Linked DNA regions of Macaca fascicularis. The main gene of each other region encodes a partner of the protein of the gene in region 3 in a complex. Links are inferred from orthologs where the notes say so. Each region holds a gene or a part of one and is shown on either strand. Other genes may lie near its edges. The genes, in order: CC2D2A, TMEM107, CEP290, MKS1 and TMEM17.

The links.
Region 1: CEP290 (region 3) and CC2D2A share a complex: the UniProt entries of both Homo sapiens proteins name them as parts of the tectonic-like complex. The link is inferred for Macaca fascicularis from reciprocal best matches to the Homo sapiens genes CEP290 and CC2D2A.
Region 2: CEP290 (region 3) and TMEM107 share a complex: the UniProt entries of both Homo sapiens proteins name them as parts of the tectonic-like complex. The link is inferred for Macaca fascicularis from reciprocal best matches to the Homo sapiens genes CEP290 and TMEM107.
Region 4: CEP290 (region 3) and MKS1 share a complex: the UniProt entries of both Homo sapiens proteins name them as parts of the tectonic-like complex. The link is inferred for Macaca fascicularis from reciprocal best matches to the Homo sapiens genes CEP290 and MKS1.
Region 5: CEP290 (region 3) and TMEM17 share a complex: the UniProt entries of both Homo sapiens proteins name them as parts of the tectonic-like complex. The link is inferred for Macaca fascicularis from reciprocal best matches to the Homo sapiens genes CEP290 and TMEM17.

The regions. Positions count from the first base shown.
Region 1 is NC_088379.1:14,620,473-14,627,114, reverse strand, and holds the start of CC2D2A (coiled-coil and C2 domain-containing protein 2A), read right to left. Parts: upstream 4,155-6,642; 5' UTR 3,984-4,154; intron 1-3,983. UniProt on the Homo sapiens protein: Component of the tectonic-like complex, a complex localized at the transition zone of primary cilia and acting as a barrier that prevents diffusion of transmembrane proteins between the cilia and plasma membranes.
Region 2 is NC_088390.1:8,259,938-8,266,258, reverse strand, and holds TMEM107 (transmembrane protein 107), read left to right. Parts: upstream 1-2,042; 5' UTR 2,043-2,167; coding exon 2,168-2,254; intron 2,255-2,430; coding exon 2,431-2,498; intron 2,499-2,581; coding exon 2,582-2,700; intron 2,701-3,540; exon of another isoform or gene 3,541-3,639; intron 3,640-3,806; coding exon 3,807-3,903; intron 3,904-4,148; coding exon 4,149-4,218; 3' UTR 4,219-4,420; downstream 4,421-6,321. UniProt on the Homo sapiens protein: Plays a role in cilia formation and embryonic patterning. Requires for normal Sonic hedgehog (Shh) signaling in the neural tube and acts in combination with GLI2 and GLI3 to pattern ventral and intermediate neuronal cell types.
Region 3 is NC_088385.1:95,070,809-95,076,657, reverse strand, and holds part of CEP290 (centrosomal protein of 290 kDa), read left to right. Parts: intron 1-54; coding exon 55-124; intron 125-426; coding exon 427-473; intron 474-3,057; coding exon 3,058-3,201; intron 3,202-5,849. UniProt on the Homo sapiens protein: Involved in early and late steps in cilia formation. Its association with CCP110 is required for inhibition of primary cilia formation by CCP110.
Region 4 is NC_088390.1:48,491,443-48,497,775, reverse strand, and holds the start of MKS1 (tectonic-like complex member MKS1), read right to left. Parts: upstream 3,945-6,333; 5' UTR 3,922-3,944; coding exon 3,842-3,921; intron 3,420-3,841; coding exon 3,310-3,419; intron 1,473-3,309; coding exon 1,345-1,472; intron 925-1,344; coding exon 769-924; intron 1-768. UniProt on the Homo sapiens protein: Component of the tectonic-like complex, a complex localized at the transition zone of primary cilia and acting as a barrier that prevents diffusion of transmembrane proteins between the cilia and plasma membranes.
Region 5 is NC_088387.1:59,413,203-59,419,064, reverse strand, and holds the end of TMEM17 (transmembrane protein 17), read right to left. Parts: intron 4,337-5,862; coding exon 4,233-4,336; intron 4,092-4,232; coding exon 3,978-4,091; intron 3,036-3,977; coding exon 2,757-3,035; 3' UTR 1,774-2,756; downstream 1-1,773. UniProt on the Homo sapiens protein: Transmembrane component of the tectonic-like complex, a complex localized at the transition zone of primary cilia and acting as a barrier that prevents diffusion of transmembrane proteins between the cilia and plasma membranes.

The DNA.
Region 1 (6,642 bases), on a different chromosome or scaffold from region 3:
TGCATGCTGATACTTCCCAAATTTACATCCTGGGTCCAGACATCTCCCCAGAATTCCAGACTCAAGTATCTGCTTGATGGACACCTTCACTTGGCTTGACATACCTCAGATAAAGTTCTTTGCTTTTATTCCTGAGCCTGCTTTGTACTGCAGTTTTCCTGTTGTAATACACAGAAATCCATTTTGCTCAGGCCAGAAACCTTGCAGTCGTTCTTAACTCCTTTCTCAGTCTCACATGACACACCACACTCAATCCATCGGAAATCCGGCCAGTTTTGGCTTCAAATTATATTCAGGATCTAATCACTTCTAAACATTTCCACTATTATCACCATGGTCAAACACCATCTTCTCTCTTGAAATCTACTGCAAGTACCTCCTAATTTCTCACCTTCCCACATTGCTGGGCTACCATATTCTCTGCATTGAAGCCAGTGCAAATTGATAAAAATTTGAGTGACATCATGACGTTGCTTCACTCAAAATCCTCCAGTGATTTCCCTTTGTCCACAGAGTAAAACCGAAAGTTTTCTCCAAGGCCTACAAGCCCTGTGTGATTTGCACTTGAATCCTCTTGCCTCAGGACCTTTGCACCTGCGGTTCCTGCTACCTAGTTCTCCTTTTCCCCAAGATATCTGCATGGCTCTTGCTCTTTCACTTTCTTCCAGTCTCTGCTGAAATTTCATTATCAGAGAGCTCTTCCCTGACCATTCTCAACACAATGATCTCCTCCCAGCACCCTCCTGGAATTCCTTAACTACCTTACAATGATTTTTTCATAGTACTTATCACCACTCAACATACATACTTGTTAATGTCAGCCTATATCCATTAAAATATAGCTACAAGAGGGCAGAAACATTATTTTGTTTATTGTTTACCTCCAGAGACTAGGATTATGGGACATCATGGACATTCAATATATACTTGTCAAATGAATGACTAAGTCACTGACTTATTGCCTGTGGTTCCATAGCCACATTCTGGGACTATTTAAAGCTCCACTGTTTTTTCTAGTCTTCTGTGAGGATTAAGTGAGAAACCATGTGGAGAAACAACAGGCATATGGCTGACAAATCATAAGCCCTTTCTAATATCCATGGAACCCAAATCTTAACTGGGACTTGGTCAGGTCATTTAAGCAGCTCATCTGAGCTCAAGGTTTCACTGACCCTACAGGGGAATTACCATGTTAAAGGGAAATAAAACATCTGAAATTCTATTGTCTTCTCTACAAACTTCATCACAGTGTACAAAAAATAAAGGAAGGAAAATGTAAAAGCTGCTAAGAAAATAGAGAGGCAAGAAGGTAACCTAGAGTGAATGAGGGGGCAGATAATAAGGATGAAATGTAAAAGTACACAAGAGTTCTCTAATAAACAACTCCGGTCATTGCAAACTGAAAGAAAACCAAAACAAACAAACAAAAAATCTGTGAAATATTTTAGTAACTAAAAAAAGTTCTCTATAAGTTAAAAAACGCTTTATATGAAATAAAAAATAGAAGTAGAAAATGAAAAATGTAATGGGATTTTCTTTTCTCCTCATTCTTTCCTGATCATTTCCTTTAAATGAGTTTCTAAGGAAATCAAATGACAACGAAATTTACTTTTTATATGAACACTGTTGCTAAGAAAACATAAATCAGTACTGCATGGTTTTAATATGCAGCTTGCCATCATCTTATGCATTGGTACTTGTTAATATATTCCTACTGACAACATCAAAATAACTATGATTTACTGCACACTTATTTTGTGCTAACTCTAGACATATGTTCTCTTTAGTCCTCACAATAACATATCTGGCTTAGCAGTATGTGCCCCAATTTGTGTATGAATAAACTGAGGCTCTGACAGTTTGCATGATTTGCCCAAGGTTATAATTATTAAATGTCACATCCAGAACTTGACCCCAAGACTCTGATTCCCAAGTCCTCCCTCACTCCACTCTACCCCTTTGTCTCACCATTTATTCTTACTTTTGTAATGGCATCAATAATTATTCTATGCTTTCCAGAATAGCCCACTATTCTGGAAATATTTACAGTTGAAAGCTGTGAAGCACTGGTGAGAAAAGGCTTAGGCTACATTAAGTCAATTATTTATTTTACTCAGTGCAGAAAACCAAACATTTTTTTCAAGGAAAGTACTGACACCTTCATCTGAATAAATGGTCTATTCTTAAGAGTCATCAGTGGATCAGAGCCATACCTGTAGGTTGAGATACAATGCATCTCAACTCCATATTGGTTGCTTAAAAAATCATGCAATATATATGCCCTACTCCAGGATGGCAAAAACATGGGTTTATAGGAAGAGTGGCCCACGTATTTCTTTGCCAAGGAATATGTGGACCTGAGTTCCAACTTCAGCTTTTTTTATTAGCTGTGTGATCTTGGAACAATGTCCTCCCTTCTCTGAGACACATTTTTTTTTTTTTTTGTCTGCAACATTGCAATCATACTTCCTACCTTGAAGGATGATTAATTTATAAGGGCTAAATGATGAAATGTGTGTAGCAAAATGCCTAGCACAGACTGGGCTCTTAATATTGGTAGGTTTTGTTAATAAGAAAAAGTGATTGTGGGGAGGGAAAGTGGAAAAAAGGAATGAGGAGGGAAAAGAGCTTGGGGGATAGAAGAGGAGTCATGAAAAAGACCTTAGGTGATTTTCAAGCCCACCCACCTTTGGCTCCAATCTTCAACCCCCAGCTTCCATAACTCATGTTCCATCTCTCGTTGCCTTCAGCCAGGCCCAGGGCAGTTGCCTTGCTGTTTCCATGTATGGTGCTTCTGCAACCTCCTGCACTTCTACCCAGGAGTATTTTCTTCCTCACACCGTGAGAATATTTTTCTGTTCCATCCTGGAGCTTGGACACCTGGGGAGGTGCCACATACATTCTTTTGGAATACATTGTCTTATTCTATAAGTTATTCCAGCTGCAGTTTCCCTTAGCATAAGGTTAGTGACAAATAGCTTTATAGAATCATTGAATCAGCTCAATATAATATACATTGGCTTTGAAGAGTACATATGGGGACCATATTTGAGCTGTGTTATATGATATATGGCCAGTGCATTTACACAATGTGGTAAGTGCTGGAAGCCCCTCCCTGGATGTCATCCCACTGTGCTTTCAGTGTTTTATAAATCTCTTATGGCACTTAGCTCATTGTACTCTTATCATGTGTTTATAGGTCTATTTTCCCAGCAAACTCTGAGCTTCTGACCTGGTCTAATTTATGTTTGCACCCTCTAAACTTAAGTTCATTGCCTGGTGCATTGTTGATGCTCCATAAATGTTTGAATGAATGACTCTATAAGTGGGCTCTAGGAGATATATATATTTGTGTATATATAAATATATACAGAGAGAGAGAGACAGAGAGAGAGAGAGAGAGAGATTTCATGCTGGCACTGAATTTATTTGCAGAAAAGGTTATATGAAAATGCAATAGCAAACATATATCTTATTCGACTTTATTAGCTTTTCATAGCACCTCTTTGCAATGAGGGGAAACAAACAGTCAGCTTAAGTTGTAGCCAGTAGATTTTCTTGAAGTCTTTGGACAGCACAGCAACTCTCAGCACTGTGGTTAGTAGCCCTTTCTCTGTCTAATACCAAGAAAAGTGTATTTCGCAGTAACTAGTGCTTCTCACCTTAAGCCAGTTTGAACTAAAAGGCCCGTAAGTGCAACATGCAGCTAATGGTTCACAGAGCTTTTCACTCAGGGCTTGTGATGAACTGGACTTACATTTCCTGCAAACCAGATACCAGATAGCAGCTCAAATCAAAGCTGCCAAGTAATGGTCTATGTTCCCATTTCAGAAAGTAAAAACATAAATAATGATGAGAGCCCCTAAATTTACAATTCATTAAATCCAGTCTCATGGTATCCGGGAGAGACTGAATTTCAAGCCGGGTAACTGAAAACAGGAAATCATTGTTGCAGCCCAAAGTCCGGTTAGGGACTGATTTACCTTAAGAAACTTTACAAAAGGCACTTTGCAGATTCTGCTTTCTAGGATGGAAGTGGAGAGAGATGGTGCTGTAGAATCTTTTAAAAGGGTCCGGAGGGAAAGGCTGAGTGTTGGAGATGCCCCTGGGCTCCTCCCTGGGAAGCTGCAGCCATGTCTTGGAGCAAAAACACCAGCTTAGCAACCCGTTCCTAAGGAAGGTCACTCGGTGGCTTTTTTTTTCTTTTAAAGTGACAGGTTACTTCCAGTAGTGGAGTACAAGCATGCTGGGTAAGCAGAGACGCACAGCCTGCTGGAGAAGGACTGAGAGAAATCAACATGGGCAGCACTGCAAATTAGATTAAGCCTTAAGAGCCGCCCCTCCCTCATGTCATCTGGTCGTCTTGCATTTCCAGTGAAGAACAGGCTCAGAGGTGGGGCGATTTAGAATCTTAAAAGATCATCATTACATGGTGAAGCTGTCTAACGTGGCAGCAGCAAAAGCTCTGTGGAGGTCCTGCAGGGTACCAGCAAATGTTGCGCTCAAGTGTTTTCCAGTTAAAAGTGGAAGGTTGAATGCACAAGTTTAATTTTTGCCTATTCTCTGAATCCCACTGCAATTCCTAAAAACGGATATAAATGTTATGGCTCAAAACAGTTGAAAAGAAAAAAAAAAAAGAGAGAGAGAGGAAAGAGGCAAAGTAGCTGGAAGAGTAATAGAATGAATGGAGCCAAGGAAACCACACTCCAAATAGACTAGTGTGTATGTGCACATGTGTTTGTGTGTATCTGTATCTGTGTGTATTTTGTGTGTACGTTTGTGTGTATGTGTATTGATTGTATTCTTGATGCTCTGGCATTTGGAGCCTTGATCCTGGAGAAACTGATTCTCCTAGGTTAGCTAATTTCTAGAGATAGCAAATGATTCCCCTGAAATATGCAAAGTCTTATATACAAGCCAGCCAATCCAGAGCCCACACAACCAACCATCTCCATTTTCAAACTCTCACACACTAAGCCAATATTCCTCCTGTCCCAAGTCACCCCAGGTCCAGATACCAGACCACTATAGCCCAGAGAACACCACGATTATTCAAGCTATCTAGTCCTAAATTTACTCAGCACCCTACCCTGTGTCACCTATTCCTTCCTGGGAAAACCCTAGTAAAGGCTCTGCTCTGTACTCTGCTGTCTCCCTTCTGCCTTCTGACCAACACTGGTTCTTCCCTATGTGGTCCTGTGTGGCATTCCATGTTCTATGATTTGTATGTGTCTCCCCAAAAGCATGTATTGGAAACTTAATCCCTAATACAATGTTGTGGGGAGGCGGGACCTAATGAGAGGCAATTAGGCTGTAGGACTCTGCCCTCATGAATGTATTAATGCCATTATTGCAAGAGTGGATTCCTTATAAAAGAAATGAGTTTGACCTCCTTTTCTCTCTTTCTCTTTCTTGCTCTCATGTTCTCTTGTCTTGCACCATAGGATGGTGCAGCAAGAAGACCCTTGCAGGATGCCAGGCTCTTGATCTTGGACTTCCCAGCCATCAGAACTGTGAGAAATAAATTTCTGTTCATTATAAATTGCCCAGTCTGTGTATTCTGTTACAACAGCAGAAAACAAACCAAGACACCATGCCTTTTGTTTCTAGGGATCTGTTAAGTATAAACTTCTTCTTTTATGCCAGTCATGTTTGTGTCTGTGTATCTTACCATACTGAATTAAAATAAATCCAGAGTACTTTTTTTGACTCGGCCTGTATGCATGCATATGTGTCAGTGTATTTGTGTTTGTGTCTCTGTATGTGTATGTATGTTTATGTATCTGTGTGCGTGTATGATGGGGTATGCAGGTAGGCATGAATACAAGGAAATGAGCTGATTTACTCTGCAGAACTTCAACAGCTCAGGATTTGGGGCAGCAATGTCATAGCTGAATCGTGTTCTCTCTCACCCCCAAAGATGCTGAGGTCCTAACCTCAGTATTTCAGAATGGGACCTTATTTGGAGACAGGGTATTTACAGAGGTAATCACATTAAAATGAAGTAATTAGAGTGAGATCTAATCCAAGATGATTGTGTCCTTACAAAAGGGGAAATTTGGATTCAGAGATAGACACAATAGAAGAAAGGCAACGCGAAGACATGGGGAGAGCACCATCTCCAAGCCAGGGAACACTCAAGGCTATCAGCAGCCAGGAGAGAGGCCTGGAACAGACTGTCTCTTGAAGCTTCACAAAGAATCAACCCTGCAACACCCTGATTTCAAATTTCTAGTCTCCTGAATTGTGAGAAAATTTCTGCTGTTTAAGCCACTCAGTGTGTGCTACTTTGTTACAACAGCCCCAGGAAACTAATACAACCATAGACTAAGGAAGGTGGGGAGAGATATGGGGCTGAAAATGCAGGAAGATTTGAAAGTCTGTATATTAAAGGATTGATCCTCAGGATCCTTTTTCTTGGCAGCCTGAAAAATGCCCATTCCTCAGGCATAATTTCTGTCCTCCACATCTGCCTCATCTTCTGCTGCCCATAGGAGATTTTTTTTTCCCCCCTAGGGAAGTTAAACCAGAGACTCTCTGGTCTCAAGTTCACAGTTACTGCAGAAAGTGAGTGTGTCTCAGGACTGAAAACTGATATGAAATGGAGATGTTGCAGGGCCCTTTCTGAACTTTTCTCAAGAA
Region 2 (6,321 bases), on a different chromosome or scaffold from region 3:
ACCACTCCAGGCCTTTATTATTGTTTTATTAGAGAGAGGTGTCTCACTATGTTGCTCAGACTGGCTTCAAACTCTTGGGTTCAAGGAATACTTCCGCCTTGGCCTCCTAAAGTGCTGGGATTACAGGCATGAGCTTTCGCTTCTGGTCCCAGAGTGCATTTTCTTTTTCTTCCTTTTTTTTTTTTTTGAGACTAAGTCTTGCTCTGTTTCCCAGGCGGGAGTGCAGTGGCACGATCTTGGCTCACTGCAACCTCCGCCTCCCGAGTTCAAGCAATTCTCCTTCCCTCAGCCTCCTGAATAGCTGGGATTACAGGCGCGCGCCACCATACCCGGCTTTTTTTTTTTTTTCAGTAGAGATGGGGTTTCACCATGTTGGCCAGGCTGGTCTGAAACTCCTGCCCTCAGGTGATCTCCCTGCCTCGGTCTCCCAAAGTGCGGGGATTATATGCGCGAACCACCACTCCCGGTCAATTTCTGGCCAAAGTTTCTAAAATAAAGTTTAAGAATAAATGCCCTATTTTTATAGAATTATAAATGCCCTACTTTTATAGAATTATAATTCTAGCGTTTCCTTTTTTTTTTTTTTTTTTTTTTTTGAGACGGAGTTGTGCTCTTGTTGCAGAGGCTGGAGTGCAATGGCACGGCTCACTGCAACCTCCACCTCCCGGGTTCAAGCGATTCCACTGCCTTAGTAGCTAATCGAGTAGTAGTAATCGAGTAGCTGGGATTACAGGCACGCGCCACCACATCCGGCTAATTTTGTATTTTTAGTGGAGATGGGGTTTCAGCATGTTGGTCAGGCTTGTCTCGAACTCCTGACCTCAGATGATCCGCCCTCCTGGGCCTCCCAAAGCGCTGGGATTACAGGCGTGAGCCACTGTGCCTGGCCCGCGTATCCCTGTTTGTAGCACCTATTATCTTACGGATTTATTTGTTTGCATGTCTGTTGTTGATCTCCCTGACTAGAATACTATTACTAGGTAATAAATAAATATATAAAAATATTTGTTGAAGGAATGAGAAATGCCTCTTGGGCTTGTACTTTAGTCTGGCTAAAGGCACTGAGACGTCGAGTGGGAAGTAGGAAGATATTGTTCTCCTGGGAAATGGGCCGGGAGTTTCCTTGAGGATGGGACTTGACTGAGCAATTAGAGAAGAACTTTCAGATCTGCAGGGACCTGCGCTGAGGCCCAAAGGTCATGACGTCGCCGGTGATAAGAGCTTCCTGGACTGTAGCTGGGCAATGTCGGAGGTCCAGCACCTCCAAGAGATAAAGAAATCTAAGTTGAGTTTCCCTTCCCGTAGGCTCCAAGCCTCCCAGAGACGCAGGGACTGTACCATTCCCTTCGTCCACTCCCACCTTTCCAGCCACCTTGCTTTGCTCTTATTCCCACGCTAGTTTAAGGACGCGGACCACTTTTTGCACTCTGCAAATCCTTCACCAAACTGAGCAAAGTAGTCTGAGAGAAATCAGTCTTCCTCAAGGAAGGTTCAGGCCTAGGGTCCTCAGACAACCAGGGGCTCTGTGACAATCTGTAACTGCCGAGCAGTCCAGGAACACCGGCCTCTCCACGTTCGGGTCCCTTGTTTCTCAGGCCCAGCTTGGTGGGAAGTTAAAGGCATGAGGAGAGGAGGAAGGGGAGCGGGTGTGAGTCTTCGGCATGGCGGGGACCTCAGCCCGGCGTGGCGGTGGGAGTGATCTCAAGTGATCCACAACTGGGCAGCGTAGCTGGGGCTGGGGGCCGCTCCCGGCGTGGGCAACCGCGGAAGCAGAGGTGTCCCCAGGCTAGGCCAGGGTGGGTTTCCGTTCGTCGGCCCTGCGTGGGCAGATCGGGCGCTGCGCGGCTGTGCCACCCCTCACCCTCTGAGAAACAAAGGGCCTGGCTGCGCACGGGTACCCAGCCATTGGGTTAGAAGCTCCTTCGGGTACCCCTGACCTGAGTTAGCCCTGAAAGACCCACAGCAGATGGAGAATGTACTGCTCTCGCGAGGTTTTCCGAGAACGCGGCAGCACGCCCGCGTACGCGGTTACCAAGGCAACTGGGCGGTGCCTGAGCTGGCGGAAAGGAGGAGTTCGTCTAGATTTGTCCGCTTGCTGGTGGACTTGCGGGAGTCGCAGTCTCTGAACTTCCAGCCTCAGAGACCGCCGCTCTTGTTCCCAAGGGCCATGGGCCGGGTCTCAGGGCTTGTGCCCTCTCGCTTCCTGACGATCCTGGCGCATCTGGTGGTCGTCATCACCTTATTCTGGTCCCGGGTAAGACCCACGGCTGCCCTCCGTCCGCCCCCATTCCCATCTCGGAGTCGTCCCCGCCCCACCCTGCCCCTCTCCCAGTGTCTTACCCACTTGGGTTTTCTCGTGTTCCGCCGTCCCTAGGCCTGCCCAGCAGCCTGCCCCTTTTTCACTTCTCTTCCTCTCTGCCCTGCTCCCAGGACAGCAACATTCAGGCCTGCCTGCCTCTCAGGTTCACCCCCGAGGAGTATGACAAGCAGGACATTCAGTGAGCTCTTAGGACGGGGTGGCCAGAACGAAGAGGTGGTGGGAGTGGAGGGGTCTTAGAAGAAGTCCAAAGGCCTGAGCCAGTCCACTTCCTCTCTGCAGGCTGGTGGCCGCGCTTTCTGTCACCCTGGGCCTCTTTGCAGTGGAGCTGGCCGGTTTCCTCTCAGGAGTCTCCATGTTCAACAGCACCCAGAGCCTCATCTGTATCCTTTCTGCCTGCCCACCTTTCCCACACGACCCATTTCTATCAGGACTCCCTTCAGCCACCTGACACAATAGTGTCTGCTGTAGCCAGTCTCTCCAGTTCAAAGATCTTCAACCATGTGCTAAATCCTGCTGTTTACTAGGCACTTAAAATTCCGAAATGAGAGTAAAATACAGTTTTTGGCCAGGCACGTTGGCTCACGTCTGTAATCCCAGCACTGTGGGAGGCCCGCGCAGGAGGCAACATAGTTAGACCCCGTGTCTACAAAATAAATAGTAATAATAAAAACTCCACTTTTTTTTTTTTTAACCATGAGGAGGAGGTAGATACACATCTGTAATTCAGTGTGATAAGCAGTGTGCTATGGGAGTGTGTAAAGATAGCACAGGCAGGGTGCGATGGCTCATGCCTGTAATGCCAGCACTTTGGGAGACCGAGGCAGGTGGATCACCTGAGGTCAGGAGTTCAAGACCAGCCTGACCAACATAGTGAAACCCTGTCTGTACTAAAAATACAGAAATTAGTCGGGCGTGGCGGTGCACTCCTGTAATCCCAGCTACTCAGGAGGCTGAGGAAGGAGAATTGCTTGAACCCAGGAGGCAGAGGTTGCAGTGAGCTGAGATCGTGCCACTGCACTCCAGCCTGGGCGACAGAGCAAGACTCTGGCAAAAAACGAAAGATATAAAGCACATTGGGAACTCAGAAGAGGCAACGGAAGCCAGGCACATGGGTCAGAGAATTGTGGACCAGGAGGACCAGGACACTGGAGGCTGATTCCAGCGCATATCAAGTCGCTGTCAGCACTCCTGTGTGGCATAGCAGGAGAGCCTACTCTTACCTCTCATCTGAAGGATCCAGGCTGGCCCCTAGATATGGAGTAGGGTAGCCTGAGATCCCATCTGCGCAGTCACTTCTGGTCTCTCCTCACATGACTGTCCTAAAATTCAGAAGTCGGGGATGCTGACTCTAGCCCTTGCAATATGGTGAGGGAGCAAACGATGAACCTGAATGCAGATGCCAACCCCACCACTGGCCTTTGGCCTTTTCTGACCCCTCACTATCTGTCGATCCAAAGACTTTCCTTAACTCTGGTGCCTTCCCAAGCCATTGGGGCTCACTGTAGTGCATCCGTGGCCCTGTCCTTCTTCATATTCGAGCGTTGGGAGTGCACTACGTATTGGTACATTTTTGTCTTCTGCAGGTGTGGTAGCATCCAATATTCGGGAATGAGGGAGGAAGGCTGACCCTAAACCTGAGGGTTTTTCCCCCACCCAGCCCTTTCCTCTATGTGTGAGATACCAGATCCACTTAACATCCTGTAGTCTTTTGAATTTTCATTCCCTACCCCATGCCACCTGTCCTACACTTTCAGGGGTGGGGTCTCTGGTTTGGAGATTTGGGTATTTATATTGAAAGGGTTTCTGAATTTACCACTTGCCTCGGTAGTGCCCTTCCAGCTGTCACTGAAATGACTTTATTCGTCACCGTCTTTGGGCTGAAAAAGAAACCTTTCTGAGCACCTTCATGACGGGAACCTAAGGACGAAGGCTACAGGGGCAAGGGCCGCTTCGTATTCCTGGAAGAAGGAAGGCATAGGCTTCGGTCCTCCCCTCGGAAACTGCTTCTGCTGGAGGATATGTGTTGGAATAATTACGTCTTGAGTCTGGGATTATCCGCATTGTATTTAGTGGTTTGTAATAAAATATGTTTTGTAGTAAGATTAAGACATATACAGTTTTCAAGGCACAATTGAGATGGCGAAACTACTGAAGAAAAAAAAAGAAGCAACGTTATTTTCTAGTTCTGCAGACCGTAAGATACTTGGTATCGCTTCTATTTTGGTTATTACGGTAGTTGTCTGGCGGAAGGGAGTGGGCGGAGATATGTAAATAGAAAGTGCTTACAGTTAGAACGTCCAGCACGTAAATGATCGGAGCATTCTGGGAAAAAGAAATGTATTCCTTTTCGGCAGCCGAATGAAAAAATTCTTTTAAAAATGTGCAAGCAAATATGGCAATACAACTGGAAGGATGCTAAGTAGTAGGGTTACTCATACCAACGCGTCGTGAACTCACCCTAGCTGTAAACGGAATCTTTTTGACTGAGTGCGGAATGTCGGCTCTTTAGAAATATCGTCAGGTGGGATAATCCTTACCTGTTCCTCTTTTGGAGGGCAGATGAGAACATGATGATTGGAGAATGCATGAAACGTGATTAACGTCTCTGCGTAATCAGGACTTGCAACACCCTGATTGCTCCTATCTGATTCTTCCTGACGATCACTTACGTTTCTGTTATGTTGATTGTAAGTTTAGTTAATGTAGTTATCATGCGGTGCAGGGAATAGTTTCTGTATTTCGCTATTTTGTGATCTCGCCAAATTTTATCTGGTTTTGAAAATTGTGAGTTGTATTTGTTGCTTACTGGGACTTAGGAGGTAGGATTGTGCAAATGGACTCCCGTTGTTCTTTGTCGTTTGATACTTTGACGCTTCACCTCTTCTCAGGAAACACTGCACATCAGTAAAAATCTGTAATCTAGTGCACAGGATGGATGATACTCATTCAATAGGAACGGGTTTTTTTTTTGTTTTGTTTTGTTTTGTTTTGTTTTTGAGGCAGGGTCTTGGTCTGTCGCCAGGGCTGGAGTGCACTGCACTGATCTCGGCTCACTGTAACCTCTGCCTCCCAGGTTCAGGAGATTATCCTGCCTCAGCCTCCCAAGTAGCTGGGATTATAGGCAGGTGCCACGATGCCCGGCTATTTTTTGTATTTTTAGTAGAGACTGGGTTTCACCATGTGGGCCAGCCTGGTCTTGAACTCCTGACCTCAGGTGATCTGCCCTGATGATCGCCCTCAGGTGATCAGCCTCCCAAAGTGCTGGAATTACAGGCGTGAGCCACCACGTCTGGCCTTTTTATTTGTAAATTTTGTGCTATCCATACTTTATACCAGTACAATTTATCATACACTTATGTATATACATGGATACATTTGTTTTTGGAGAGTTGGTTGTTAAAAATCTACCAGTACACCCCCAAGAAACTGATCATCGCCAATGACTTCTGCTTCCCAAATCCAGAGTCACTTTTCAGACTTGAGTTTGAGTTTGACCTCTCTTCAGCATATGGTACGTTGACCACCCCCTCTTTTTTTTTTTTTTTTTTTTTTAGACAGTCTTACTCTGCTGCCCAGGCTAGAGTGTAGTGTGCAGTGGTGGGATCATAGCTCACTGCAGCCTCGAACTCCCAGGCTCAGATGATCCTCCTGCCTCAGCCTCCCAAGTAGCTGGGACTATATGTGAGCACCACCACACCTGGTTAAGTTTTAACATTTTCTATAGAGACAGGGTCTCACTGTGTTGCCCAGGCTGGTTCCAAACTCCTGGGCTCAAGCCATCCTCCCCACTAGGCCTCCGAAAGTGCTAGGATTACAGGCATGAGCCACCGCATTTGGCCCACTCCTCTCTTTTGCACTTTTTTCTCCCTTAGTTTTGAAACAGTGGTTCCCCTGGTTTGCCTACTACTGTACTGTTCTGGTTGTTCCTTTTTACGTTCATTCAATGAATACTTAGAGTACCTGCAGTGTGTCAGTTACTGGGGACATAATACTGGGTTGTC
Region 3 (5,849 bases):
TGCTTACATTCCAGTTTAAAGGCATATTGAAATAAACTTTTTTTAAATGTTTAGATGAAAGCTCAAGAAGTAGAGCTGGCTTTGGAGGAAGTAGAAAAAGCTGGAGAAGAACAAGCAAAATTTGGTAAGCACCTTGGAAAAAGTTTATTATGTTATTAAATAATGAGTTCCATTTGTTCATTAAGCTGTAGAAAATTAAATTCTATAAACTGTATATATTCAATTTATTTTTAATATATAACATTTATTTAATAATACATATTTCTAGACTCCTGTTTTATGGATCTGCCGTATAATACTTTTTGTTACCTTATAATCATGATGGACTCTTTTAAAAGAATTAATTTTGTTATTAAAATTTATGTAAAAGTTTGTTCTGTGGTAACTAATCAATTAAAACATTTGTCTTTTTTTTTTTTTTAATAGAAAATCAATTAAAAACTAAAGTAATGAAACTGGAAAATGAACTGGAGGTATGTCTTTTTGTGTTCCCTAGGATGTAATTGTCATTAATTTTATTTTGAATTGTTTTCAAATTTTAAAATTATTATTGGCTGGAAAAATGATAAGGATGATTGTAATCATGGTTATTTGTTTATTCAGTATATGTTCTACATGCCTATTATGTGCTATATATATATTGTACTAAGGATTGAGCATACGGTTGTGAACAAAATAAAAAGCAGTTAACTGCTGAATGGAGCTTACAGTCTTGGGAATTATACAGAAAGATTACTAGTAACTGAGGTGGAGGGTGGGTGGGCATTTGAGGAATAATTACCAAAGGGTGTTATAGAAGTAATTTTTGACAAAGCTGAGGGCTAAAATATGAATATATTGTTGAGGAACAAAATACATAGAGACTTCTGAGAAGGTAGGAATGTAATGCAAATGGATCAGCCTTTGAAAGGAGGAATACCCTTTTCCTTTGTGTTAGGAGAGGAGGAAGAATGGATGAGGGGAGGAAGAGTGAATGTGTATAGAAGCTTTTATGTTTGTAGGCATAATGCCTGGAAGTTGAGAGGGTGGTGATGACATCATCTGTTTAAAAGAGTGGGAAATGGTGTGGTCACATTTTAATGAAATTAGATAAAATTTGAAATCCATTGGAGAAAGGACTGGAGAGTTGGGGATCTGGAGGCAGACAGATTTGAGTTCTAGTCCTGATTCTTTTACTTGTTAACTCTCTGAACTTGGATTACCTATTGTTTTTTGATTATATATCCAGCTCCTGGGAAGATGCCAAGCACTTTGAATAAATACTTACTACATGAATTATGGAGTTGGATCAATTCTGTGTTAGTCTTTAGCTAGGCAGCTGCTATAGAATAGGAGGGTACAGTTGAAGATATTGGTAGGAAAGTGGTTGAAGCGATGATTGTGAAGTCTTAACTGAATGGATAAGAAAGTCAAGATTGGGGTTGGGTGGGCAGAAGGGTAGAGATAGAGAGGGAGAAGTCAAGGGATTAGAGTGTCCTGTGAGGTCAAAGGATAGGCATAGTGGGAATAATTGAAAGAATGTTCTGGCTGGACAAGGATCTGATGTAGGTGTGGGAGTGAGAAACTATAGTGAATTCAAGAAACAAGAAAAAAATAGATTAGAACAAAAGTTATGTGGAGATTGCTTAGGTGTACATTTGATAGACGTCTGCGGGCCACATGCTTAAATTCCCAATGCATTTTGCGGAGTTATTGGGAAGTTCGTGGCTTGCTTCTACCATGAGTAAGTAAAGATGGAGAGCAGGACATCTTGTGAGAAAGCAGCTGAAGTTTTCATAGGATGATGGAGGAATGATAGGAATGATCACCTGAAGTTGCAGGGTTGGGTAAACCTAGAAGTACCAACACCTTCTCCTGACCCTAATGTATATGGGATCTGAAAGAATGAGCACCTTCCAATTGAAAGAGTTTCAAGAGCATTAGTATCTTGAAGGATCCAAATTGCAGCTAAGCCAAGATGGAAAGGAGGATTCAGTAAAGCATCTGAGGTTGTGAAATATTAATGTATCTTGGAAGAGAACTTAAGAGAGCACAATGGAGTACTTTTTGAAGGAGAGAAAGAGTAAGAACAGTTTGGTTAGTGCAGAGGAATAACAGAACTACATGGTGAAGAAATGAATGTGAGACACGTTAGATGACCAAATGATGTGATGTTCTGGGCCATGACCTAAATTAACAAGACTGTGAGGTAAAATTGATTTAATTTACAAATCTTAAAGGTAACCAAAACCTGAGCTGTTTAATATGGTAGCACTAGCACTAACCACTTGTAGCTATTTATATTTACATTGGTTAAAATTAAAATGAAGAATTTAGTTCTTCAGTTGCAGTAGCCACACTTCAAATGCCCAAAGGTAGCTACATGTAGTGAGTGGCTACTGAACTGGACAGCACAGAGAGCATGCCCATTATGCTAGAAAGTCCTATGGGACAGCGCTGGTCTAAATAGTGCATGGTATGAGAGAAAGGGCAGGTTAAGGCACTCAGCTTCACTGACGGGGGCGGAGATTCTGTTGGTTTGTACTCCAGTTGCACTAGCCACACTTCAAATGCCCAAATGTAGCTACCTGTAGTGAGTGGCTACTGAACTGGACAGCACAGAGAGTGTCCATTATGCTAGAAAGTCCTATGGGACAGCGCTCGTCTAAATAGTGCATGGTATGAGAGAAAGGGCAGGTTAAGGCACTCAGCTTCACTGACTGGGGCAGAGATTCTGATGGTTTGTACTCAGATTCCAGATCCCTGAGGCTCAGGAACTTTTGCAGTTTAGTCTGGTTACCTGTGTCCCAGTGGTTACAACAGAATGATTAACAGTCAGTTCTTTGCAGCTCTGGGTGGCTCAGGAAAAATTTAAGGAGTTATTAGCTGTGACCTAAAGCTTAAGTAAGTTAAATTAAAAAAAAAAAAAAGTTCTTAAGCTAATAAGCTAATATGATTTTAAATATCTGCACTGAAGTATAAGGAATATTTAAAGTCAATATAATGATTTGCTTCTTGACTCATTTGAACCTCAAAATATAATGGGATTAATTTATACTTTGGGTTTATTACTTCAAGATGGCTCAGCAGTCTGCAGGTGGACGAGATACTCGGTTTTTACGTGATGAAATTCGTCAACTTGCAAAGCAATTAGAACAAAAAGATAGAGAATTGGAGGACATAGAAAAAGAGTTGGAGAAAGAGAAGAAAGTCAATGAGCAAGTAAAGCACCTTTTTTTTCCATGAATCTTCACTGTTCAAGTTACCTGGCTATTTATTATTGGTAACAATATCAATTTTTATATTGTATGTTATATTTGAAAAATGATGTTCACTTATCTCTAAGATTTTATATCACTGTTCATTTTGTCATCACCAATTTTAAAATATAATGTAACAGATACTTCTAGTGAGTATGACTTGAAGATTAATTATTTATATTCGGAGGTACATTTTTCTCAGTACATCAAACTTGTTACCTAAAATTAATGCTTTTTTCTGGAAGATTGGTATCAAGAAACCAACAGATTTTCATAAAGAAGTGATCTTTCTAGCGCCATAGTTTATTTTGGGTAAAAGTAATATTTGTTTGTTTCAGTGTATTTATATGATTAGTAGATTTGTAAATGAATCTTTTGATGATATATTCAATAATGGTTAATTAAATATCTTGTTTTTGGTTGTACCTTATTTTATGTGTGATATATATATATATACACACAGTATATATAGTTTTTGAAAAGTTGTGTTCATGTCAGTAGTTTATAAATGACATCTTTAAAATAACATTTTTAATGCATAGTTTTTATTACTTCATGTTATTCCTTGTTATAAGCTAGTAATTCTTGCAGTGTTCACTTGAATTTAGTTTTAGGAAAAAAGATTTTTTGCAGATCAACTTGTATTTCCTGGAAGAAAATTTCCTATTTTTACCTTAACTTCCTGTTTAATGTTTTATTTACTTAACATTTATTTGTTTTTTATTTCACCTGAGCTGTTAGTAAACTTAGTAAAATTTGGTGCCTACATGTGGTAGCTGTCCTGTCCCTTATACTCAGAAACATTTTCCATCTTTGTGTCCTTTAAGTCATTGTTGTGTTATATTCCATTTATTTTATTTTGTCCATTGTTCTCTCAGAAGTTGAGGGTCATACATTAAGAAAACAATGATATGCTATTTAAGATAATGTATCATAAATTGATTTGTAAGGAAAAGTATCCCCATTAATGTATCTATTTTACTCTAAAATTTTAAAGAATCATATATAAGTTAGCTATGGAAACAATGTGGTAGAGACAGTATGGATTGATGCCACTTAAATGTTAGGAACAAGCTCTTAGAGTATTATCTGTTTAATTAACTCTGCAAAACACAGCAGACCTGTGGATTTTTTAATAGTCATAAAGGATCTAGCTTATAATATTCACTGGTAGAATTGCTTAGGGGGATGTCTGTGGTTTTCTGGACTTTTGTTCCTCTATATAGACCTGTATCAGTTGACTTACCATCATTCATACCACATACCCTTAGCTAATCAGAACTACCTTGTCCATTTTTATCTTAGAGTATTATCTTTATTCATAGTCACACACAGAGAAAACTTCAATATGTGACCTGTGTTCCTTTTTGGCTGCTCAATTCCTTTAGATGAAATATGGGTATGGGTTGCTTTGGCAATTACTTCTTTGCCCTTAACCAGTCATTCAGTTTTGTTGGGTCTTTACAGCATACCAGAGACTGTGCTAGTTACTAGTGATATAGTGGGCAACTTTGTTCTGGTTCTCAAGAATATTCATAGTCAATAATAAGCATAACATAGTGATAATATGATAGGGAGATAGATAAGGTTATGTTCTGGCATACTCTGAAGAGGGATACCATAATCAGCCTTAAGGCACAGGATGTGATCTGTAAACTGAGATTTGAAATAGAGTTAGACTGGTAAGAGGAATGAGGATGTACATGGTGGTTAAGGAAAGAACATTCTGGGTAGAAGATACAGCATTTGCTAAGACCTAGAGGTAAGAGATGTTATGGAGTATTTAGGAAACTACAGTTATTCTTTTTGACTGAAATATAAGTGAAAATAGCTTTCATAGAGTTCTTACTATGTGCCAGGCACTTCCGAAGCATTAATTCATTATTGCTTATTTGATACTTACCATGTGAGATAGTTGTCATTTCTACCATGATATAGATGAAGAAATGGAGACAGAGAAAGGGTAATTGCCAATGGTTGCACAGCTTATAAATGGTAAAGGTAGGATTTGAAAACAGTCTTAACTCAAGAGTTTGTGCTATCTTGCCTACCAAGTTTTAATTCTTATGATCCTCTGGAGAGATAAGCAAGGGCCAGTTCCTGATGAATTTGATTCTTTTCCTGAAAGAAGCCAATGAAGAGTTTTGAGCACAGGACATCATGATCAGATCTATATTACTGTACTTTGTAGAGAGTGGATAGAAAAGGGCCAAGGCTAGTAAGGAGACATTTGTGTTAATTCAGGGAAGCACTAATGATGGCATTTGCCTGAGAAAGACAAGTGTGAGAGAAGTAGATGTAACTGGATGTGGTGAATGTAATTGGTTGTTGGAGGAGAGGGAGGATGGAAAGTCTGCCTAATTTTGTGGGCTGGGCCACTAACTAGGTAGATAGTGCCATTCATTAAGGAGGAACACAAGAGGAATTTGGAAAGCTTGAGATTATTTCAGTTTTGTAGATGCTGAGTTTGAGGTTCTTCTGGGCATATTCAAAAAGGGTTATTTGTGGATATGGAATTCACAAGAGACCCTGAGCAGATGATGAGGATTTATGAATCATGTGATTCATAAATCAAGTGATTATAAGGCACATCTCTGAGAAATGTCTAAT
Region 4 (6,333 bases), on a different chromosome or scaffold from region 3:
GCTATCATAGCTCACTGCAACCTTCAACTCCTGGGCTCAAGTGATCCTCCCACCTCAGCTTCCCAAGGAGCCAGGACTACAGGTACATGCCACCATGACCAGCTAATGTTATCAATCCACAGCTCTGCTAATGAAAGCATGTCAATCTTTCAAAAACATTTATTGAATACCTGTTCCTTGCAGAGACCTACAGAGTCATAGACAAAAAATAAAAAAATATAGGCTGTACCCTCAAGGAGTTTAAAATCTTACTGAGAAGACAGAAGCAACTGAAATGCAGTGATTGAAGAAAATGCAAAACAAGGTCACAAGGGTATTTTTGTCATTGGCAAATTGAGGACATAAGTCATTTTCCACAGCTATACTAAACTCTTCTTCAAACCCATATACTCAGAGTTTGGGCCAAATCCCCTGATGAATTTTATCTAGATTGTTCCAGACTCCACCACCTGTCTTTTTTCATGATGCATGGAGGAAGTCAAGCCCAATGGTTACTTCTCCCAGTATGCACTCTGCAAGTGTATAATCAGAGAACTGGCAGCTCCTCCAGGCCCTCCAGCAGGCAGAGAAGGGAGCAGCAGCCTCACCACCTGTAGACTGTGCCCATTCTATTGCAGGCTGGCTGCCAGCAGCAGCAGCTCACAGCGGTTCCTAGACAGGCTACCTGTCTCCCCTTACTAGGCTTCTGACATAACACAAGAATCCAGTGAGGCAAAAAAGCTAGAGGAAGCAAAGAGGGAAGCTATGAGACCCTGGAAAGAATAATACCTCCTCCAAATTGGTGTATCTATCGGAGTCAGTGTAGGTAAAGATTCGTCGGTTCTTCTTGCCACCTGAATTCTCCAGCTTCAGGATCTCCTGACGGTACTGATAATCCAAAGGACTCTGACAGGCTGCTTCATTTTGGTACAGATCTACTTCAAACTGAGGTTACCATAAGGAAACAGAGATGTGTACATCATTATAATACAGCAAACTTTTGCTTCTGTAACTATTTAATCAAATCAGTTCTACAGAGCTGATGCTATCTGACACGTTTTCATAACCAACACTAAATTAATGGATGGCAGGGGAACCAAGAACATTAGCCCTAAAAGGAACCAGACTGATAGTCTAATCCAAATCTGTGATTACAGATGGCATATAGCCCAGAGATGAAAAGTGCCTCACCCAGAATCATAAAACTGAGTAGTGGCAATCCCTGTTACACTGCCCTTTAAACACAACAGGGCGAAGTATAAACCGTTACAACCTGTCTGGAAATCACTTTGGCAATATGTATCACCAGTCATGTGGAGTCAGACCAGGTGGAACAGACAGAGCAGACAAAAGACACTGGCTCACCTGGCTAAAGAGCTTCTCCTGCCACCCAATCACAATCTCCTCCTCTTCGTCTTCCTCTGGGCGGTGTCCACCTCCAAAGACAACAGAGTGAGTCAAATGCTTGAGCCGAACCAGCACCACTTCTTGCTCTGTGGTTGATTATAACCAGAGTTCCTATTCGTATATTTGCCACAAAAACCAGCTGGAATTCAGCAATTTATTAAGCACTCAACCTAGAGAAATGCTAGAGAGGCTGTATATAAGAGTTAGTATGAGTGGAAGCCAAGATTAGAACCCAAGAAGTCTTAATCACTACTCTAATTTGAGTAAAAGAAAATACCCTCCAGGAATTTTTTTGGGGGTGGGGGGGATGGAGTCTCACTCTATTACCCAGGCTGGAGTGCAGTGGCACTGTTTCAGCTCACTGCAACCTCCATCTCCTGGGTTTAACAATTCTCCTGCCTCAGCTTCCCAAGTAGCTGGGATTACAGGCACATGCCACCAACCTGGCAAATTTTTGTATTTTCAGTAGAGATGGGGTTTTGCCATGTTAGCCAGGCTGATCTTGAACTCCTGACTTCAGGTGATCCACCTGCCCTGGCCGCCCAGAGTGCTGGGATTACAGGTGTGGGCCACTGCGCCCAGCCTCCTCCAGGAAATATCTAATCTAACTGGATATAAGAAATTGAAATTTAGGGGCCGGGCGCAGTGGCTCAAGCCTGTAATCCCAGCACTTTGGGAGGCCGAGACGGGCAGATCACGAGGTCAGGAGATCAAGACCAGCCTGGCTAACACGGTGAAACCCCGTCTCTACTAAAAAATACAAAAAACTAGCCGGGCGAGGTGGCAGGCGCCTGTAGTCCCAGCTACTCGGGAGGCTGAGGCAGGAGAATGGCGTGAACCCAGGAGGCGGAGCTTGCAGTGAGCTGAGATCCGGCCACTGTACTCCAGCCTGGGCGACAGAGCGAGACTCCGTCTCAAAAAGAAAAAAAAAAAAAGAAACTGAAATTTAGATATAAGCTGAATAGCCAGCCCTTCCGCAGTCCAAACTGTCTGCGTTTGCTAGAAAATAACCCTGGCATTTTTATCTTTACTATTTCTAAAGCCATATATGTAGTATCACAAACACTGAAATTTAGGAGGCCAAGTGTCAGGAGAGGACAGTGAAGGCAAATAAATGATTTTTTAACAGAACCAAATCTGGCTGGACGCAGTGACTTGCGCCTGTAATCTCAACATTTTGGGAGGCTAAGGTGGAAGGATCACTTGGGCCCAGGAGTTTGAGACCAGCCTAGACAACATAGCAAGACCTTTTCTCTACTAAAACTTTTAAAAAATCAGCCGAGTGTAATGGTGTGAGCTTGTAGTCCCAGCTACTTGGGAGGCTGAGGCAGGAGGATGGCTTGAGCCTGGGAGACCAAGGTTTACAGTGAGCTATGATCATACCACTGCACTCCAGCCTGAGTAACAGAATGAGATTCTGTCTCAAAACAAAACACAAACAAAAACAAAGAAAACAAATCTAATCTAATACACTCTTGGCTGGCTGAGTATGCCTTTTTCAGAGACACATGTTTCACAACCCGCAAGCCCACACTCTTGCCCAGGAACAGCTCTGAACAGAAAGAGAAACAATAAAGGCAGACAGACTAGTGACCTGACACAACCACTCTGTCCTCTCCTCCTCATTCTTTCGGTTTCCCAGATAAGGAAAACCACAAGAATATAGTTGATCTTCATATGCACATTATATGTATATTTTTCAAGCAGTCCCCAGTTTAAAAATTGTTTTTTAAAGTGTTTATATGTGTATTTAGAGTTTGGGACACGTTTTCTCTTTTAAAAATGCCACAAATAGAATGTAGATTGCCAGGCAAATCTATAACGTATCAGAAGTATAGTACATGTTATCTCACTACATTTGGCCACAATTCTGATTAGTATCAGAATTAGTAGTAGATGGCACATCATCACCATAACACCCACTGGCAGTTGGCTGAGGCCTAAAAGTGGCCAAGTCTATGAGGTCCTTCCAGAGCTCGGCAGCAGGCTGATAATGAAGAAAGTTGCTTGATGTGATTCTTTGCAGGTGAACCCTGTCAAGAAAAGCCCAAAATATTTGTTACCAGACACGCAACCAGGAGATGAACACAAAGCAAGGATTGGGGAAACAAAACGGAGGAGGTGGGGTTGCCAAGGTGTGCTGGGTGCAGACAACGGAGAGGAGGTGGGTGGGTGCGCGGTCCTATGGGGAAGACTGAGGGTGAGAGGGTGTACTGGGGACACAGGGCTCTGAGAAACTGGGAGCAACAAGGACGTGAATGGACTTGGGTGGGTCTGTAAGGGGTTCTTGGAGACTGTGAGTGGATGGGGTACGGATAGTGAAAGAAGGGGGGAGCCCGGAGAAGAAGTGGTCGGGATTGTAAGCAGAAGTGGGGGCCTCGGAACACCGAGTTCAGGTTGGAATGATCTAAGGACATAAAACCATGGGGCCTCGGGGCTGGGGCGGTGTGACTACCGGAGGCGCAAGTTGCGCACGGGGTCCCGGGAGCGATACACTGCCTCCCCGGTGTCAGTGCTCCAGACGGTCTCCGCCATGACAGCTGCGACGCGCCGCGACTGCGCCGGAAAGCGCGCCGCTCTGTTTTCCCGGCAACAGAGACTCTGGATCGGGAGGCGACGGAGGTGCTGCGCGCGCAACCCGCCGTTCTCGTCACGGCGCCACAGTCCCAGTAGGCCCCCAGTGCAAGTGCAGCCCAAGCCTAACGCCCAAGAGGGCTCCGGGGTCCTGCCAATCACCGCTTACCATGTATGCGAGAAAAGCTCACCCAAAGCGGGACCTCGTGCACGGTGCAAATGAGGAAACTGGCACAGCCATCAGCCCACCTCATATAGCCAGATGCAGAAATGATGATGGAGACCAGGTGATCTGAGTCTTCGCCCTCTACCTTTTCCACCATGCCACAGTGCCTTCCACTGAACGCATGAAAACTTTGGCCTGAAAATCGGTGGATGTAACTGTAAGAAATGCACCCATTATTCCCAAAGGAGTCAGGGAAGGTGACGGCCCTTAGCCAAACAAGAAAATACATTCTCGGAGGACAAAAAAGTGTGTCAGAAGATTTATTAGTCTTTGTGTTGATATTCTCTGAACAAAGAAAGAAAAAACAAGGAAGTCAACAGTAAGGAAGGAAAAGATGTTATTATTGAACTAGTTCTTACCTTGTGTGTGTTAGTTTTGGATCATTAAAACACTTCAGATACTGCACGGGCTTCCTGAAAAGCCAAAAAAGTGACATTAAGAAGTCATGCTTCGTTGGACTAGCAAAGGAAGGACATGCTGTAACCTCACGTCTGGCGCCCTGGCGCCTTGGGAATGTCAACATTTATCAGGCTTTTTCACATCTGGTCCTCCTCCAACAAAGTAAGCAATTGTCCCCTGAACTCAGGAATCTCATGCCAGTTTGATGATTTGGCATTGGAAGCTCTGGGTGCCATAGCCACTAGTTGTGTAACACCAACTCACCATAAATAGCACCATTTATTTAGGATCTAGTGCAGCTTCAGCACTTTGTTTTCATTGTCCCAAATCCTTGTAGAAGCCTCTCAAGAAGGTATTTTTGTTCACTTTAAGAGTGAAGTTCGTGAAGGCCAGAGTTTAAAGGACTTGCTAAACTTGGAAGTGGTGAAAGTACTAGGATTCCAGCCCAAGTTCTGTCTTTTGAAGCCTAACCACCTTCCACTTTGCCTCATGGCTTCTCACCTACTAATTTATTCTATAAATGCACACATTTCCAACCTGGAAAATAATAATTTTAACAGATTTTTAAAAAGGCATCTTTCTAGCTCCTAAGAAATGGTCTCTCTAATGTTTCCTTTTGTGAGTAGGCAATCTGTGCCACATGCACAACAGCTGATAAAGTGGAGCTTGATTCTAGTTTAATTTTATAACCAAATCCAATGTACAACAAAGCTAATCTGACATAATTATATGCAAAATAGTTTCTATATCACATGGTATGGAGATATAAGCTATTTGTCAAGTAAGCAACCATAATTAGTATTATTTTTATATAGGTAAACTAAGTTTTCATATTTTGTTTACTGATTTCTATGAATCAGGATCCTTTTATGTTTAAATATTCAGTTTATTGGTCTTAAGTACATTGTTTTGCAACCATCATCACCATCCATTACCACTACTTTCTTATTTTTGAAAATTGAAACTCTGTTCCCGTTAAACAGTAACTCCTGATCCCCCTCTTCCAGCCCCTGGCAACTACCATTCTACATTTTCTCTCTATGAAATTTGACTACTTTAGATACCTAATCCATATTGTAGCATGTGTCAGGATTTTTTTTTTTTTTTTTTTTTTTTACTTTTAAGTTCCAGAATACATCTACAGAAAGTGCAGGTTTGTTACATAGGTATACATGTGCCATGGTGGTTTGCTGCACCTATCAACCCATCAGCTAGGTTTTAAGCCCCGAATGCATTAGTTATTTGTCCTAATGCTCTCCCTCCCCTTGCCCCCTACTCTGCCACAGGCCCCAGTGTGTGTTGTTCCCCTCCCTGTGTCCATGTGTTCTCATTGTTCAACTCCCACTTATGAATGAAAACATGCAGTGTTTGGTTTTCTGTTCCTGTGTTTGTTTGCTGAGGATGATGGCTTCCAGTTTCATCCAAGTCCCTGAAAAGGACATGATCTCATTCCTTTTCATGGCTGCATAGTATTCCATGGTATATATGTACCACATTTTCTTTATCCAGTCTATCACTGATGGGCATTTGGGCTGGTTCCATGTATTTAATATTGTAATTAGTGCTCCAATAAACATACATGTGCATGTGTCTTTATAGTAGAATGACTTGTATTTCTTTGGGTATATACCCAGTAATAGGATTGCTGGGTCAAATGGTATTTCTGGTTCTAGATCCTTGAGGAATACCCACTCTGTCTTCCACAATGGTTGAACTAATTTATATTCCCACCAACAGTGTAAAAGTGT
Region 5 (5,862 bases), on a different chromosome or scaffold from region 3:
CCTGTAATCCCAGCACTTTGGGAGGCCGAGGCAGATGGATCACTTGAGGTCAGGAATTCAAAACCAGCCTGGCCAACATGGTAAAACCCTGTCTCCACTAAAAATACAAAAAAAATTAGCCAGGCATGGTGGCAGGTGCCTGTAATCCCAGCTACTCAGGATGCTGAGGCAGGAGGATCACTTGAACCCAGGAGGCAGAGGTTGCAGTGAGCCAAGATCGTGCCACTGCACTCCAGCCTGGGTGACAGAGCAAAACTCCATCTCAAAAAAAAAAAAAAGAAGAAGAAATAAATAAAAATAAAATAATTTTGATTTATAGAAAAAATATGTAAAGGACAAAATATTTGTAAAGTTCAACATTTTAAACAAAAATTTTCAGAAGTGTTGTAAAGAGAGAAGGATAAAATATAAATTAAGGATGGATAAACATATTCAGATAAAATTAAAGACCACCTAACCCCCAAATGTGCTGACATGTAAATATCTTCTCTACCTTGATTTTCACATACTTATATAGGGAACCAGGTATACTCCAATAGAAAATATTGGTTCAGCCTGACCCAAAAAGTCATGGTTTTACTGTTCAGATGGAAAACAAACAAATGACTTGGTCATGGTTTCAATTTACTATCTTTTTTTCCCCCACTGTTACTATATCTGCATTTTAAACAATATGTTTATTACAGCAAAATTACTTGGAAATTTTGATAAATCAATTTTCTCAAATTTTTTACAGTTAAAAAATTTTTTTATGATTATGACTGACATTTTGTTATTAATCTCTTAAAGTTTAAATGTACCAGAAGTTCTGCTATTTAAAATAAAACTCTGGAAACAATCTTGAAATAGAAATGTCTCCATCATCCCCTAATTTATCTGCTTTGTAGATTTAATTTTATTTTATATTTTCTTATAGAATCACCTACCTATACCTACCCAGATACCTACCTAGTCCTATCTGGGAAACAAATGCAAATGAATATGTTTTAGAAAACTATTCAAACAGAATTCTATTTTAAATTCCAAATTATTAAGAGTGTAACTAGTGACTACTTTGGCATGAGAAAGATTAACTAGCCACTGCATGGAGGGAGAAATATTTGGCTGAACTTTATATATAATCATAAAGAGCAGAAATAATAAAATTAGCATAGTTTGGTCAGGAAGAATCAAGAATGAGTGGGAAGTAAAGACATTTTTTGAAGTTCAGCAAAACAAGAATGAATAAGGCAAAACCTGGGAATCCAAAGTATGAATTGTAGAAAAATAAACTTGAAAAGAGCAATGTTTAATGCAGCTACAACTGTCTCTCAGTGAAATACATTATGAAGGCCCATTTCCCTATAGAAAAAAAGAAAACCTGTAATGAACGTATCATATCCTTTAAGACAGTCCAACAGTCACTAATATAATGTTCGGATAATCCAAGCAACTTTGTTCTTAACCAAATCTCCTAAAATAGATTTCTCCTATTAGCAAGGGAGCATGCTTATTCAGGATCATGAGTATAGTCCCTTTGGCCATCTTAGCTCTCATATGTATTAAGAGGCGCTCTGGTTTCCAAATCAAGCCTCATGTGAATTTAATGGGTATGAAGCAGTTCTTTGGTGACCGATAACCTAGTAGATGAGATCACAAGTGCTAATTTAAAACGCCTACTACAGTGCCCACTACATAGATAGCTCTCTAGGATTTGTTTTCCTTCCTTCCCTTGCAACTCTGTAATAAAAAACACAAATCTATAGCCCAAAAAAATTGCACAAGACAAGGATGATCTGTTGTTGATACCTTAAATATTTAATAATTTATTGTAAAAGCATTTTATATACCACCATTACAAATACTGAATATGGTTTTATGAAAGTTATAATTTTATAACAAAAATATTTCCTAAATACCAAGGCAATCCACCTGTTTTCTTCTTAATCTCAGTATAACAGCTAATATTAGGGTTAGAATTTAACCCTAGCAGACATGAAAATTTGGTCTCTTGGTTTATTTTTTATTTATTTATTTTTTTGAGACAGAGTCTCGCTCTGCTGCCCAGGCTAGAGTGCAGTGGCTTGATCTTGGCTCACTGCAAGCTCTGCCTCCCGGGTTCACGCCATTCTCCTGCCTTAGCCTCCCAAGTAGCTGGGACTACAGGTGCCCGCCACCACACCTGGCTAATTTTTTTTTTGTATTTTTAGTAGAGACGGGGTTTCACCGTGTTAGCCAGGATGGTCTCGATCTCCTGACCTCGTGATCCACCCCCTTTGACCTCCCAAAGTGCTGGGATTACAGGTGTGAGTCACCGCGCCTGGCGGGTCTCTTGGTTTATAAATATAGTCAGATACATAGGAACATTGACTGGCATTTCCATGTCAAGAAACATGGTCATATGTACAGCCAAGACACGGACAACCAACAAGTTTTAAAGAAATGGACACATCTCTAGTTACAGATTCTAACCAGAATTACTACAGGAGAGCTGGCAAATGACAACCACCAATACATACATTTCTACACTCCTGAAAAAGACAACATCAAAAAACATTAAGAAATTTGGCATCAGGTAGACAACATCTAGGTTTTGGGGCTAATATACTGATTCATACATTGTACAAAGTTTCATCATTGCCCCCAACCTTGGAATTTCAGAGTGAGAGTGTATACAAAACAATTGCTTTGTCCCTTTTCTCATATTAGAGCTCTGATATTTTCCTAACTCTTACAGTCTTCTAGAATGATCTGTCAGATTTTCACTCAACACTGGGTCAGATCTCTTCTATACATGACCTCATCCTTCTCATGTCTCCTCTGTTTGCAGAGAGCCGGTCAAAGTCTTGGAGGTGGAAACGAACTGCCAACTGATTAACCATTTTCCTTAAGGTAAGAAATGCTGCAACAACTTGGAAAGCAAGGAAGAGAGTGAAGATGATATGTATCGCTTTTTCCAAGGGCAGATTTGTTAGGCCTTCATTAAAGAGCAAGAAAAGAATTAAAGGTAACTGCAATAGAAGGCTCAAAAGCCAAAAGCCAGCCAACTCAGGAACCTGCAATGACACATATCAAAAGTAATAAAAATCAGTAAAATATAGTTTTTGTTTATACAGATAAGTACTTATCACTACTGTGAACCTACATTATGGGCTCTGTGAGTGATTCCGAAGGAGGATGACATGGTCCTTGTCCTCAGAGAACTTACAGTCTAGATGAGAAAACTAATTTATGTAAAGCAATCCTAGAATACTACACTTTAGTGAACAACTAAGGGCAATATTTAGAAGTACAGACTAAATGCTACAAGAAATAAGAGAGTGATTAGGGTAGGTGAAAGAAAGACCTCAGGGATGTAGGCTTTTAAAGTTGTGGAGGAGGAAGAGGCAAAAAGGTAAGTAAGCAAACACGTGAAACTAGCATGATTGGGAATCAGCACATCAGCCTGGAATGAATGGCTGAGTGAGAAAACAGCAAAACCTACAGTAAGACAGGCTGGGTGGGGCCTTATTATGAAGGGCCTAGAAAACCACAGGAATCTTTAGGCATTATCCCTACACTCTGGTAACCATAAATGCTTAGGTAGCATGATGATGCAGAAAACATGGGCCTGGCGTAGGAAACGAATTCATAATTTTCCCCCATTTTCTTATTCAGGATCCAAATACACATGTCTAAGTAACCATGTATTTTCAAGACTGATGAGAAGAGGGAAAATATCAATTTTAAGTGTTTACCACATTCATATGCTTTACATAAATCATTTCACTTAATCACAACAAACCTGTGAAGTAAATATTATTTTCCTCATTTTATATATGAGGAAACCAGGGCTCAAGAGATTAAGCAAACAGACCACAGTGACAGAAGTGGTAAAGCTGGAGTCAGGCTTTAAATTCAGGCCTGTGCTCTTTCTGCCACACCTCACTGCCTTTTACTTGTTATGAAAACTGATTTCATTTATATCTATCACTGAGAGAAAGGAAAAAAGAGCTTACCTTTTCCTGTAGGTTACCCATGTAGCCCAGATACAACCGGATGGCTTCAATTAAGGTTATTAGGATGATAACAGTGATCACAATGAATTTGTAGTAATCAGGCAAGATTGAATACTAAAAGAAAGGCCAAAACATGTTTGTAAAATTGCACGTATAGTAACACTGATTTGAGATAGAAAAAAATTATTAAGAACTTTAATTTTATTGACACTCTAACAACGTCAGGGCAGCAAAAGTATTAAAGCTTAGATTTACCTTCATGTGAAGCATCATAATGCTGCTCACCCACCACAGTGGGAAATAGTAGGTATTAAAATAAAGTGACATCTGCAATGCCAAACTGGAGACCATTTCATTTTCTACAGAAGGAATAGAAAAGGAACAAATTATGAAACTTGGTCTATGCCCTATAAATATATATATCCTATCCCGTAGAATTAATAACTATAATATTGGCTCAGTAAAACACCAAATTTTAAGCCTATTTATAATCATTGACAGTAAAAGGAATATTCATCCTAATACCAGTTAGGTCAAATATTGGCTATTTGGGGGTATGTTTCATATTTTTCAATTATTTTACCATTTTGCCATTACAGTCTTCTGACTTTTTTGCATATACTAGTACAGATTTAATGTAGAATATCAATATAAATCCTATTCAACAGATAATTATCATTGCCTGCTTTGTAGAATTCTATGTAAATAGCATATAAAATTAATGCATAAAATAAATAAAAATGAATCTCTCACATATAAACTAATCTCATACAAAAACGGATTACCAAGATTATATAATTAGACACATCTCTCTTTTCAGCATACCCTAATCTTAGCCATTCTTTAAAGTCCAATTCAGCGTCGTCTTTTCCATCAATACTTCCTTCATCAGTTCCCCCACCCCAGCAGAAATACCTTTCCCTTCAGGTACTTATCACTCTAAACTGTCAATAAGAAGTGCTAGCAAAGAACCACATTCCCCTCCCCGAAAAACAGTCTGGTGTACTGAACAGATCACGGGCTTCAGAGTTCAAGCAAACCCAAGCTCCCCAAACCTCTGTGACCCTGGATGTCAGACTTTATATAAATTATTTAAGTTCTTTGAGCTTCTATTTCTTCATCTGTAAAATAGTGAAATTAAAACTTCCTTACAGGCTGCTTGTGAGAATTAGAGCCAATATGAATTATTTCTTCCTAGCACTGTGCTGGGCACACTTAGTAGGCACTCAACAAATATTAGTCCCCTTTCCTTCTTCTCTTCTATTTATCTACTTATCTGCAAGCACACACCATGTCCCACCCTAATTTGAGACCCTCATAGAATCTAGCATCTTGCTTTATATGCAGTGAATATCAAATACACATAAGAATGAATTAATGTAAGCATACTGTCATAAGGACATTACTAGTATAGCCATTTGTGATACATGAGTTCCATTTACCTAAGGTTGATTCCATAACACTTTTTGCTTTTATGTAAGACAGAAGGGTCCTAAATTAAGAATTTGATTTTTAAAATTGAACCCTACAAAATACATCCTAAATTTGACTAAATTCTTAAGAGCGGACACATATATTGAAATCAGTTGTTCTACACGTAAGATTTTAAAGGTCCTAAAATAAATGTCTTAAGAACATTATTTCTCCTTTTCTCCATAGTTGAGTGTTTTTATCTGTCATTTAATAATTTTAAAATATAAGAAACAGTCATGGTCTCTCGCAGCAAAATAGTTTCTTTTAGCTCCAAAAATATGCCTGATTATTATGATCTACTTTTGCTTGCAACTGCTTATTAAATTACCACTGATAAATGAATGAATTCTTAAAATCTGTTAAATCTGAAGACAACTCACCAGCCTAGGATCTTTCTGATAGCAACAGCACA